3 linked regions of the Drosophila melanogaster genome follow. The protein of the gene in region 1 purifies or fractionates together with the protein of each later gene. This does not show direct contact. Each region holds a gene or a part of one and is shown in the gene's direction. Other genes may lie near its edges.

The links.
Region 2: the proteins of Ulp1 (region 1) and Kr-h1 purify together in Drosophila melanogaster (affinity purification with western blotting, with the first as the bait; one study listed by BioGRID). This does not show direct contact.
Region 3: the proteins of Ulp1 (region 1) and krz purify together in Drosophila melanogaster (affinity purification with western blotting; 2 studies listed by BioGRID, with this or other methods). This does not show direct contact.

What each region holds. Positions count from the first base shown.
Region 1 is NC_004354.4:19,206,358-19,210,636, reverse strand, and holds the start of Ulp1 (Ulp1), read left to right. Parts: upstream 1-2,449; 5' UTR 2,450-2,603; intron 2,604-2,844; 5' UTR 2,845-2,877; coding exon 2,878-4,279. Other genes in the region: CG14195 (uncharacterized protein), read left to right, coding at 297-1,018, 1,091-1,439, 1,509-1,816.
Region 2 is NT_033779.5:6,089,213-6,093,491, forward strand, and holds the start of Kr-h1 (kruppel homolog 1), read left to right. Parts: upstream 1-2,199; 5' UTR 2,200-2,356; coding exon of another isoform or gene 2,357-2,608; 5' UTR 2,609-2,887; coding exon 2,888-3,032; intron 3,033-3,782; coding exon 3,783-4,279. Other genes in the region: CG45075 (uncharacterized protein), read left to right, coding at 2,357-2,608. UniProt on the Drosophila melanogaster protein: Plays a general role in the hierarchies of gene expression leading to metamorphosis.
Region 3 is NT_033777.3:32,049,561-32,053,839, reverse strand, and holds the start of krz (kurtz), read left to right. Parts: upstream 1-1,846; 5' UTR 1,847-2,000; coding exon 2,001-2,571; intron 2,572-3,970; coding exon 3,971-4,279. Other genes in the region: mod (modulo), read right to left, coding at 1-217, 285-594, 863-1,105.

The sequences.
Region 1 (4,279 bases):
TTCGTTGTGATAATAAGTCGCTTATCGTATACCCAATATATCACATATCACGTATATATATATATTAGTGGGTGTCATTATTACACTGCACGCCTTATCAGTCCGATTTTGTTTATGTATTCAAATATAAATGGAATTCAATAATTTCATAGTTCTATGCCGCAAGGAGTTCGATTAAAGAATCAATGATGTTAAACTGTGCCCAAACTAAAGTTAAACTTAAGTTCGACAGAATTTTTTATTTTCAAAGCGGAAAAGCGACAAATTTAACACAACATTCTATCGCCTTGTCCAAGGTATCGGCTCCAGCTTGTACCTGTGGAAGACGCACGTCATTCTGGAGGCAGTGCGTCCGCGGGAGGACAAGTACGTCCGCAAGACGATCCACCTGTGCGGCGAGGCCTTCTGCCAGCTGTTCCTCTCGTTCGTGTTCACCAGCCTGCGCACCTTGTACGGCACCGCCCAGTCCATCGTACTGATGTCCGCCCTGCTGGTGAACCTCATCCCGCTGAGCCTGATCATTACCAAGCATCGCGAGGATGCCTTCACCACGAAGCGGATATCGGTGATCAAGGCGGAAACGGGATTCGCTGCACTGCCGCTGCGAGCCGCACTGGCGGCCAACTTGGTGGCGGACCAGCTGGACGGATTGGACACGCTCTCATGGCGGAATCCGGCCACCACCGAAATGGCCACGCCCAGTGGTGCCGTCGCCGCCGCTGTGGTGGTGGACACGCACAGCAACTACATGCTGGCCACCGATGAGGCGTATGTGACGTATGTGAATCCCAACGGGGTGGAGATTATGGAGATCATACCCGAGGAGGACGAGACGGTGTCCATGATGCGGTCGAGCAATGCGACCATCGACAATTATGCCATGTCCGCCTCGCAGATGTCGCACAAGTCCCTGTCCAATGGACGTCTCTATCCACTGACGCCCCAGCATCCTTTGGGCACAGGAACGGGAACTGGTACAGGTAGCTCCTCACCCCTACCTCCCGATTATGCCAACCTGGTGAGTAGTGCGCAGGCTTTGTGGAATATGGTGACCGGATGTGAAACCTTTCCGTATGCTCCTCATTTTCAGCGCCGCATCCGGCGGATGTCGCGTGCGGTAACCACGCACCTGTGGTGGAATCTGCTGGACAAGATCGCCATGCCGCTGCAGCAGGCGCTGCTGGTGCCGCAGCTGTACGCCACCACGCTGCTCCTCTCGGCGGACATCTTTAGCTACGTGATGTGCCTGACGGTGCTACCCGGACTGGCGGTCAGCCACCATGCGCTGAAGAACGCCGAGATCCCGTTCCTCTTCTCGCTGCTGGCCTTCCCATGGATGTGCTTCTCCCTGATGACTCCGCGCTTCGGCACGAGCCTCTATAAGCGGAAGCTCCAGTGGCACACGCTGGGCAGCATCTGCAAGTGCCTGGCGCTGATCTGTGAGTCATGATACCCGTTTCAAGCTTTCCCCGGGCCATCAATAGATCCATCTTTTGTTTCGCTTCCAGTCATCAGCTTCTCCACCTCCAAGCTGCTGCTCAGTGTGTCCGCCGTGCTGCTGGGATTTGGCCAGGTGGTGACCGCCTTTCTGCAGGAGCTGGTCTTCCAGATGGGCATGACGCGGGCCAACTGGACGGCCATCCGCCGTCCGGTGCACTTCACCAACGGCCTGCTGGTTCTCCTCTGGGGCGCGCTGGCCCACTGGGTGGTGGAGCGGTACTCCTTCCAGGCCACCGTGGGACTGGCCGGCGCCCTTTACGGAACTACCACGCTGCTCTGGAACTTCCTCTTCTTCTGCTGCCAGAGCAAGGATTGAGGGACTGAAGAATTCGCGCACTCTCACACAACAAGGCATCGTGTATGTGTGTGTGTGTGTGTGCTGCTGTGGCTGACGTTGTTGTTGTATTTGTGCAGTGATATTAATAAATAAATATATAAACTATAAGCAAGCTACATACATTTTAACATAAGTCTTAAAAGTCTTATTACGTCAATTTGAAAAAAGAATGGAATGCTGGCCTTTAAAATATCCCTAAAGAACTGCTACAGAAGTAGCTATAGCCTTTTAGCTATTTTTCCATTAAGCTGTGCTGACTACTGTACTTTGGAAATGTGGACAGTTTTTTTCCGATTAAAATAAGTTTAAAAGTATAAAATGTTGCGTTCATTCTAGAGATTGGTTCAATTTTTTAGAAATCTGTCGCACACTAAAAAAAATGCATGTTCTTACAAAATTCGCTGTGTAAGAAATATTGAAAATATTGAAATATTATTGGAAAATATTGACGAAAAATTTCCCTTTTCACCGAATTTGTCGTATTTTTACAGTAAGACTAAATGCCGTTATTTCCTCAGATATTTCTAGGTAATTACATTCGCTGCGTGACGAAAGCTGCCTGCTATGATGCGGCAGCCAGACCCAACACTGTTGGCCGATATCGATTGGTTTGGTATTATAGAGCAATATCTTGTACGGTCATACTAAGGCACCAGTACGCCAAAACCGAAATTTTCTTTCTTTACTCAATTTTCATCGAGCTAAGTTGCGAAAATTTTCTCAAGTCACAGTGAAAAGTGTACATTGTTTAAAACCTGGCCAAGGGGTAAGTGTTTGTTGCAAGGCGCTTGTGGTGTGGCACTCAGTGCGGTGCAATAGCAGCGTCGGCATTTTCCGGCGGCCGCAGAAGTGGCACCAAGCAAAGACGGCGAAAAACAGCGAAAAATGCGCAAAATCGGGCTTCCTTTTTGCCGGCTCGTTTTCCTTTTTTGCTTATTCTTCTTCTTGCGATTCTTGAAAGCGAATGCGTGTGGAAAAATAATTTCTGATTAAATTTCAATTTGCAGCTAAAAGTAGCGAAAGCGGTAGCGAACACACGCATGTCGCTGCCTCCCGAGGACACCGATTTGTCCACAAATTCCGCATACGAATCCGCACTCCAAATCGCGAGCAATGTGTCGGCAGCACGAGTAGTCGGTTCGGCAGTAGGACAGCGATTTTCGCCGTCGCCAGCAGCTCACCCGAACGTGATTGAGCGCGTCGCGTCTCATGTGGACTCACGCCGCAGCACGTTTCCAAGTTGGGGTAATCCGTCAGTAGCGCCAAGAGGATCGGAAGAAGCAGCAGCCAACGCCACAGCAACACAACTCCTATGGGCGGAGAACCAAGGTCTCCCGACATCGCACTTATTGCCAACTGAACAGGCATTCGAGACATTGAACACTAATGCGTATTGTTCCCCGCCAGGGGATTCACGATTTACGTTCCCTAGCCAGAACTACTCGCCGCTGCTGCCGCGGTGTGTCCCAGTTCCGAATCAGCGTTACTCTCCAGATGGATCGCCAATACATCAACTCCATGAGCTGCAAAATTGTCCATTGATAGATTCGCCGATAAGACTGCGATTTCCATCCCCCTTGCCAGAACCACCATCACTACCGACCATCACCCTTACAGTTGATGCCCTGATCGATCTTGACCAAAACAACCAGGTCGCATATTATGTCCAGCAGTACAACAATCAGCCAGTCCTATATCAACAAAACATTCATATAGGAACGGGAATCCAACTATGCGATCAGGCCTCCGAGAATAATCAACCGATTATATTACATATCGTGGAGCACAATCCCCAGACTATAACTGAGAGCCAGGAGCAATTCCACCAGGTTGTCCCCGAAATTCAAATCAATAATATCCAGGAGCAAGATCAGAAATTTGAAAATGGCATCTCGGAACAAAATCATCCGATTGCAACTGAGGCTCAGGATCAGACTTTAACTGAGATCCGGGATGAAAACCAGATTGTCCTTGCAGTCCAAGAAAAAAATCTCACGCGTGCCTCTGAGATTCAGGACCAGAACCAACAGACATTAACCGAGATCCCAGAGAAATGTCTTCAGATTGCATCTCCTGTCACTACTGATATACAGGTACAAAGTCCTCAGGTTGTAATAGAGATCCAGGAGCAAAATCACCAGTCTGTAACGGAGATCCAGGAGGAAGTTCACCAGACTGCCCCCGAAATCCAAGTGAACGTTTTCCAGACCTCGTCTGATATTCAAGGGCAAAATCACCAGATTGTAACTGAAGAGCAAAATCATCAGACTATAACCGAGACCCAGGAGGATTACTCGGCTGTCTCCGAAATCCAATGGGAAAATCTCTCGTTTTCTGCTGAGATTCAGGAGCAAAACCAGCAGATCGTAACCGAAGTTACGAAGCTTGCATCTCCTTCTGTTACTGATATACAGGCACAAAGTCCTCAGTCCGTAATCGAGA
Region 2 (4,279 bases), on another chromosome or scaffold:
ATACTCGCTGCCTGCCTGAGTGCGTGTCTTTGCTTTTTGACCTAGGCCAACCCAACCACTTCGCCCACGCAATTTGTGCGTGGCAGCGGCGACGCACACTGCGGCAGAGGCGTCGACAGAGCGGCGGCAGAGCAGCAGCTGCGCAGCCTAAGCTCAGACTTCGTGTCTAGACCTTCGCTATATAAATACAACACCAAAGTAGAATGCTAAAATTTCTAAATCTGGCATATTTCGTTCAGTCGTTCGTACAGCTCTCGTTCTCTCATGTTTCATATGCAAAGATTCTATAGTAAACTGACTTTGTTTTCAAAAATATATAACAAGTACACGTTTTCAAAAAAGAATATCTATATATTTTAAAACATTTAGTATGTTCATAATTTGAGCCTTAATAGTCGAAGGTTAATAATTGTGCTTTAGACTGGAATTTTCAATCCTTCCGGCCATATTCCCCACCATGGAATTTCCAGTCACTCCAATTTCATTCGCTTAATTTCAATATCTTATCGCTGTTGATAGTTCTCGTTTGATAAGTCTGCCTAGAGCCCTAACTTTAGCGTACAATTTCATTGAGGGACATCCTATGAATTGAAAAACGGCGAACGTGTCGTGTTATATTGCCTTATCTTATCGGGGCTCATCGAACCTTAGCTAGAATATGTATGTGAAATGTTAACGCGATCCTCCGGTTGGAATAGATACTCTCGACGGGAGCAGAAGTAATTTTATAAAAAAATCCGATTCGAGGGGGGAAGCGAAGTGAAAAGCTTACAATTTGCTTATATTTAAGTGTTCAATGACCCCATCAAAAGTCCACAAAGAAGACACCAAAAAGCAACACCGAATCCAAACCAACTCAATTTATGTATCTGTATCTCTGCGTATGTATCTCCACGTGTAAAATAGCTATGCATGTGTAAATAGGGTGTATTTTTGGAAGTGAACCGAAGTGAATTTAATTATAATTTTAATATAAATACTTCTTTTAGTTTAGTTTAGTTTCGTTTGAGCGTTTCACGTTCAATCTGGTATCTGTTTGTATCTAGCTTTCATACTGACCGCCAAGCAACTTTACTGATCTATCCAAACACGGCGATCACTTCCATTAAAGACCAGTTTTAAGTCGCTTTATTTCAGAGCTATCCCAACAAAATAACGGCACTTTAACTTTTCCGAACCGCAGCTGAATCCCCTCCCCTCGTTTTTCCCATTCTAGCTGCCCCCCGTTTTGGGAAGCAACTCATAAGAGATAATTGTGTCTTTCCCCCTCAAAAAATATTGTGTCGTTCATACCTTCAGAAACTTTTTGGTCGGGCAACCCAAAAGAGCACGAGCGCACGAATCGGGGGATCGGGGGATCGGTGATCATTCTCTGCCCTCCAACAACACCGCACTCACTCAAAAATAGTTTTTGTGTCGAATGTTAATGAACTTTTGCGCTAGTTTAACGCACAGCCAGCCGAATAAACATTCAGACACAATAACAACGAAAGCCGATAAAGTTTTTTGAACCTGCCTTCACCGAAACTTTTGTATTTCAACATTTGCTTCTCGTGCTCATTCTGTTTTTTGGGAGGGTTTCTTATAAATGTTCGCTTGTTGAAGGTGGAAACTGGTCGTTGGCTTTCTATAGATGGACTGCTCAAAATATATCCCTGAGATTTTGTAGCCTCTAAACGTATAGTTGCCGCAATTGTTAGTTAATTGGTATGCTAAGTGTGGCAAGCAAGTTGGACTTTGGTACTTTAAAGAATAATAACTATAAGACTGCGATAAGAACTATCAGAACTTATTGCCTAATTCGTTGCATTTATGACTCAAATGCTAGAATCTTATCAATGAAAACCCAACTAATTACATCACTTAAATGAAATCACTTCAGAGTTCAAAGTTTATTCAATGCTTGTATATGTACATATTTTCAATTAGTCTGAAATAATAAACGTCGCAGATAACTTAGATACCAATGAAATTTCCCTGAGCTCGGGGAAATTTTGGTGCTCCATAAAAGAGAATGTCATCGGAAAAGTCCGAAACCACTCAAACTCAAAAAAAAAAGAAACACTCGAAAATTTCCCTTGTCATCGCACTCAAACATTTTCCAATTGAGGGAAATTTCAGATCCAATGGGACCATTCTTGTTGGTGGTGGTTGATTTTTCCGTGACAGGGTTTGAGGCAGATTTTTCGGGAACTCACCCACCAGTCTCCGTTACACCATCGAACCGAAAACCTCGGGAGCGGCGATGTGAACATAATCTGAATCCCATTCTACTCCGTTAAGTGTTGTTTGTACGGGTGTTGTGCGTGTGCGTGTGCTTGTGTGTGTGTGTGTGTGTGTGGTCCACACCTCGAAAATGACCGACTTTTCAATGAACGATATTTTGAGATCATTCAGAAAAATGCGTATGAACAAGGGCTCGGGCCAGGGCGGTCAGCACCACCAATACCGCAATCATCAGCACCAACAGCAGCCTCCGCAAAATATGCAACACTACCAACACACCTATCCCGTGCAACAGTCGAAGGACTTGAAGAAAATCATCAAAATCATCAAGAAGAACCTGATCAAGGAGAAAATCACGCGTCAAATGAAAATCCTTGTCTAAAAATGTCATGAGACGAGCTAAATGAATGAATAAATCTTAAGACTGCTGATATACAAATCGAGGGACTGATACTGAAAAACTGACACGAGTTCAGCGCTAAAGTCTGATTTTGTAAACTCAAATCAATGAATAAATTTACAAGTATACACATTGAATAAGAAAAGATCTCTTCAAACTTATAAACTATATTATAAATTAGACTTGCTTACAATTGAATGATTTGACTTGAACAATCAAAAAGTATTATTAGGAGGAAAACCTGTATGGAGCAGTAGCAAGATGACTGAAAGCAAGAATGATACAAAATCTTGGGCACCCAAACAAATTTGGATTAAGGATGTTCTCAAGAAATCGGGCACGGAACTGCTCGATATATCCAAGAGTCCCGCAAAGGCTGTTGCCGTCAAAAAATCGCCGGCGAAAGGTAATTGAGATGCTTTTCCTAAAAATTCAGACCGAAAAAGTTCCCTCACGACGCCATTTTGTTTTGGTATACGCAATTTTTGTTTTGGGGGAAGTTGTGGGGTTCGTTCATACTATCATAACAAAAAAAAAAAAAAATACAACAGCGCGACTGATACAGAAAGTGCGAGCGAGCAGGATGGCAACGGGAAATGCCGGTTGGAAACCGTACGATTCGTAATGCTATCTCCCAAATATCCCAAGTGGGACATTTTCGAGGCAGGGTTCTCAATGAAATTTTTCCCATTTCCTCTGGCTCTCACTCTCCTGCGCCTTCGCTTTTCCTCCCCCCATAAGCTCTCGCTAGGTTTTCCTTATTTTGGAAAACCCCGGCCGGCAATAACAGAAAGTGCGTAGCACAAATTCACGGGGTGGGTTTTCCCCTTTACGCCCTTTTTTCCTTTGGCTCTTACGAGACTTTTCCTAACCACCCGTATTGCACTTTCTATCTGCTTCCGTGTTTTTCCTGAGACGCAGATTGTGAATTGATGGGGGGCAAAGGAGTTAGACCTTATACTATGGTTAAGCTGGCTTTGTAGAACCACAAAAACCAAACAATAGGTTGCTAATATAACTAATAAGCAGTATCTAATTTATAATTTCTTGTATTATTACTTAAGTCTATTTAGAACCAACTATTTTGGTCAGGTATCAAACTAGTTAACTATGGTCAAAAATCTAATGCGGCTCCTTCTTTTTCGCCCTCTTCCAGATTCAGCCACAACCAAAATGGTTTACTATTCCGCCAACCAGCTGCTTATAAAAACGGAACAATCTAGTCAGGCGCAGTTCTGCCTCCAGGTTCCGCCTCCACTAACAGCGACGACCACGAGCGTGGGCCTAGGAGTTCCGCCATCCGGCGGCCAACAGGAGCACTTCGAGCTGCTGCAGACGCCGCAGCAGCGACAAATGCAACTGCAGCTACAGGACCAGCACCAGCAGGAGCAGCAGCAGTTTGTCAGCTACCAACTGGCCATCCAGCAGCATCAGAAGCAGCAACAACAGCAGCAACATGAAAGTATTACGAACGCAGCACCCACAGCAGCTCCATCAGCCCAGCGGATCAAGACAGAGCCCGTCGGCGGATTCCCAGCGTCGGCAGCCGTGGTGTCGCAGGTGCGCAAGCCCAGCGCCAGCAAACCGCAATTCAAGTGCGACCAGTGTGGCATGACCTTTGGCAGCAAGTCCGCCCACACCTCACACACCAAG
Region 3 (4,279 bases), on another chromosome or scaffold:
TCGTTGTTCTCTTCCTTATTTCTCGGTTGGGACACAGACAAAACATTGTCTCCAAGGGTTAACGCTTTAGGCTTAGCCTGCAGAACAGCTTCTGCTCCAGTTGACGTATCAAAGGCAATGAGAACTGATTTATTGCCATTCAAATTAGTGAAACGCTGCAAAGCGGAAAGTCGTCCGAACTTGGCGAACAATGCGACCAAGTCCTTGTGGAGATACTCTATGTGGAACAAATATACTAAGTTTAAATATACTTGAAAAATGAAATAATAAACCAGTTACTTTACCGTTTGGTAGGTTTGTGACAAAAACGATCTGGTTTTTTGGCGTTCCCAGCGGAATCTTGCCAACCTTTACTTTTGGAATTCCTCTATTTTCTTCGGACTTTTCAGAGTTGGCTTTTTCTGATTTCTTGGAAACTGGCTTCTCTACAGGCGCTTCTTCATCATCATCGGATTCATCTACCTCATCCGCGCCTTCACTTTTGGAAACCTCACCAGGCTCCAACTCATCGTCATCATCATCTTCCTCATCGTCACTATTGTACTCTTCATCTTCCTCAGCCTCGTCGTCAATTAAGCCCGCTGCCTCTTCGGTCTGAAAAGTAGACAATTTTCTTATAACCGCTGATGGGAGAGCACCAATAAAGACAATTTTTTTTTTATCGATATATGAACCGAGTCGGTATAAAACCAGAGGATCGTGGGTTATGTGCACTCGTCTTATAATTATAAAATCTTTACAACCACGTGGCAAAGAAAACGTAAAATGGATTCTTATCCATGCAGATCTATATATACGTGCATACTATGCATGTAATGTTAGCCATATCCATTCAGAAGACCACGTTTTTTTTATAGCTTACCTCAAAGTCGCTGTCGTCCCCTGGCTGCTCGTCATTTTGCTCCTCCACATCAGACTCGTCCTCTTCACTGAACTGCGGCACTTCTTTAACAGGCTGTTTTCTGGATTTTTTGGAAGGCGATTGGGGGACTACTGTCTCCTCTTCCTGTACCTTTGTGGACTTGGTTACCCGTTTGGCCAAAGGCTTTTCCTCTCCATTCGTAGCTTTTTTTCCTTTGACGGTGACGGCTTTCTTTTGGGCCATTTTGACAGCTTTTAGAGGTTTTCTGGGCAAAATTAGCAAAGTCAAGTTTGGACTGAACAACGCGTGGTTTCGTTCAATAAAATGCACGTGGAAAAGAGGGACAGAACAGTGTGACCGTTGTGCTCTATCGGTGCTAAGGCTGATTAAATAAAGTATTTTAGAGACTTCAATCTCATTTTTATAGCTCTATTCCACTACTAAATATGGTTTAAAGTCCGTTCATGCACATGTATACATATAAAAATAATAAAAGCCTTTAAAAAATAAAATAAATATTAAACAGTTTATATAAAGTATTTATTTAAGACTTAGGATACAATCTATGATTAGATATTTACCAACGGTCTGATTTTACATGTGTTTATACATTCCAAATGGTAAGTTTCCTCAATCATCAGCTATGAATCATCTGTTTCTAAAGGAATTTATAATATATATATTATATTTCATTAAAAAGCCAAGTCAACCTGCAGTTGCATTTTATCTTAGTAGGAAACTTAATGTTAATTCAAGCAATTGTTAATGGTATTGAAAGAAAAATTATTAAAAGTCACTTACTATGGGCCAGGGCACACTTAGGAAATATAAATAGGTGCCAAAAATGCAAAATAAATATTAATTATAGGCTGCGATTATGGTACGACCAAACATATATCGGTTTGTTCGCACTGAATTGAAATACCAGAGAAGTACATAATTTGTTAGTATGTAATATTCCCTGGTATTTTTCCAATGACTGTCAAGCAGTGCTGGTAAATGGCGGAACAAGTATACACATAAAAAATTAAATTGCAGCACAAGTCCCGCAACGCACACATATATTTATTTAACGGAGTTCCAATTAAGCAGGAACAGCAGAAAAGCAGAATAACAAGCATAACCGCCAAATAACATAATGAACGGTGGTGGTGGAGGAAGTGGAGGAGCAAATGTGAGCAATGGCTCCAGCACCAATGTAACAGCTGCCGGGAGCACTGGGGGCGGAAGCGCAGGCGACGAGACTGGTGGAGATGCCAGCTCCAGACGCCAGGCGACTCGGGTGTTTAAGAAGAGCTCCTCCAACGGCAAGATAACAGTTTACCTTGGCAAACGGGACTTCGTCGACCATGTCACGCACGTGGATCCCATTGACGGTGTTGTCTTCATTGATCCAGAGTACGTAAAGGACCGTAAGGTTTTTGGCCAGGTGCTTGCCGCCTTTCGGTACGGACGTGAAGACCTAGATGTTTTGGGATTAACGTTCCGTAAGGACCTGTATCTGGCGCATGAGCAGATCTATCCGCCCATGCAGCTGGACCGCCCGATGACCCGGCTTCAGGAAAGGTTAATTAAAAAGCTGGGGCCGAACGCCCATCCGTTTTATTTTGAGGTTCCGCCCTATTGCCCAGCCTCTGTGTCCTTGCAGCCGGCTCCTGGAGATGTGGGCAAGTCTTGCGGAGTAGACTACGAGCTGAAGGCCTTTGTGGGTGAGTCTTTGTGGGTCTGATCTTGTGGGTGTGTCCGTATACGGTGGTCAGTCAAAGTCAAAATCATTGATATTTCGCAGTGTGGCACATACCGTGTTTATTATATATGTTGCAATACATTAAATTTACAAATTTACAAATTTTTCTTTTTTCTTTACAAATTTTTCTTTTACCTTAGAGCAGTTAAATTGCGGGTACTATTGTTTCTGAGAATAAAATAATTTATTAAGAATATGGTTACAGTAGCAAAACTAGCTTTGTTCTTTTCTATAGAAGTTAGACTGTAAATTTCTTATATGTGTGGTTTTGTGTAAGTTAGCGCGTGCATCACGCGGTTGGGAACACAGGGTTAATCAATCCAACTACGTCGGGCTGATGACGCAGCGTTCACCTAATTGAAATTCGACACTTCTAATTGGAATTTGAATCAACCGAAGTTGCAGCGCAGTTAATGCTGTTGTTCGCCTTAACCAGGCGCCGCAGTTGGCGGTCTGACGATTTGTGTGCCAACAGCAAAGATCTTACATAGTTTCAAAATGTTTATTTGTTTAGTTTCTAATCTGTATTTAATAATTAAAAAAAGGTTTAAAGAATTTGTGCTTTATTTTATTAGTAGAAAGGTTTTTGGTTTCTGTAAATTTTAAATTTTTCATATTTTCGTACGATCGCCGAGCTCCACTCGCATATATATTATGTGCCCGTGGCACCCCCTTAATACATTCTCTGTTCAATAAATATTATTACCTATTGCCCTATTTTGTTTACACATTTTTGTGCTTTTATAGTTTCTGTTGGAATTTTATTATTATTCAGCAGCCAAATTGTTTACTGTTATAAACAGAGATTAATAAAATAGCAGCAATTGGCGTGTTGTTGGGTAAAAGAGTTTATAACAAGAACTTAATATTTATTTTTTCTGTATATAAGCCCAAATTCAATTTAAGAATAAAAACAACAATGTTGGAATTTGTACAGTTGGAAGAAACGATTTCTCAGTGCTTCTCTGCTTCCCCTCATGACAATTGAGTCAGCATTTTTATTTACTTTGCGTCTGTTCAATTGTGTATCTAATGTTCCTAGCTTTTATGTTTTTGGGATAACCAATTATATATATTTATGCGTATTTTTAAAGCAATGCTATTGATGATCAATTAAATGAATGTATATGCATATATATGAATAATATATATATATATATATATATATATATATATCCATATGTAAATGCCAGTAATTGTCGGCTTGTGATTAAACATCGTGGAATTCTATACATGATAGACTCAACATCAACGACAAATTTTGTAACGAATCGGACTACTGACACACCCGAGCGTCATGGGTTTTCTTCAACAAACATACATACATTGATGCCATTATTCATAATGTTTATCACTAATAGGTGAGAACGTGGAGGACAAACCCCACAAGCGGAACTCGGTGCGACTAACTATTCGCAAAGTCATGTACGCACCATCCAAAGTCGGTGAGCAGCCATCGATCGAAGTAAGCAAGGAGTTTATGATGAAGCCAAACAAGATCCATTTGGAAGCTACTTTGGACAAGGAGTTATACCACCACGGCGAAAAAATATCGGTCAACGTTCATGTGGCCAACAACTCAAATCGGACGGTAAAAAAGATTAAGGTATGTGTCCGGCAGTTTGCGGATATTTGTCTCTTTTCGACGGCGCAATATAAATCTGTAGTGG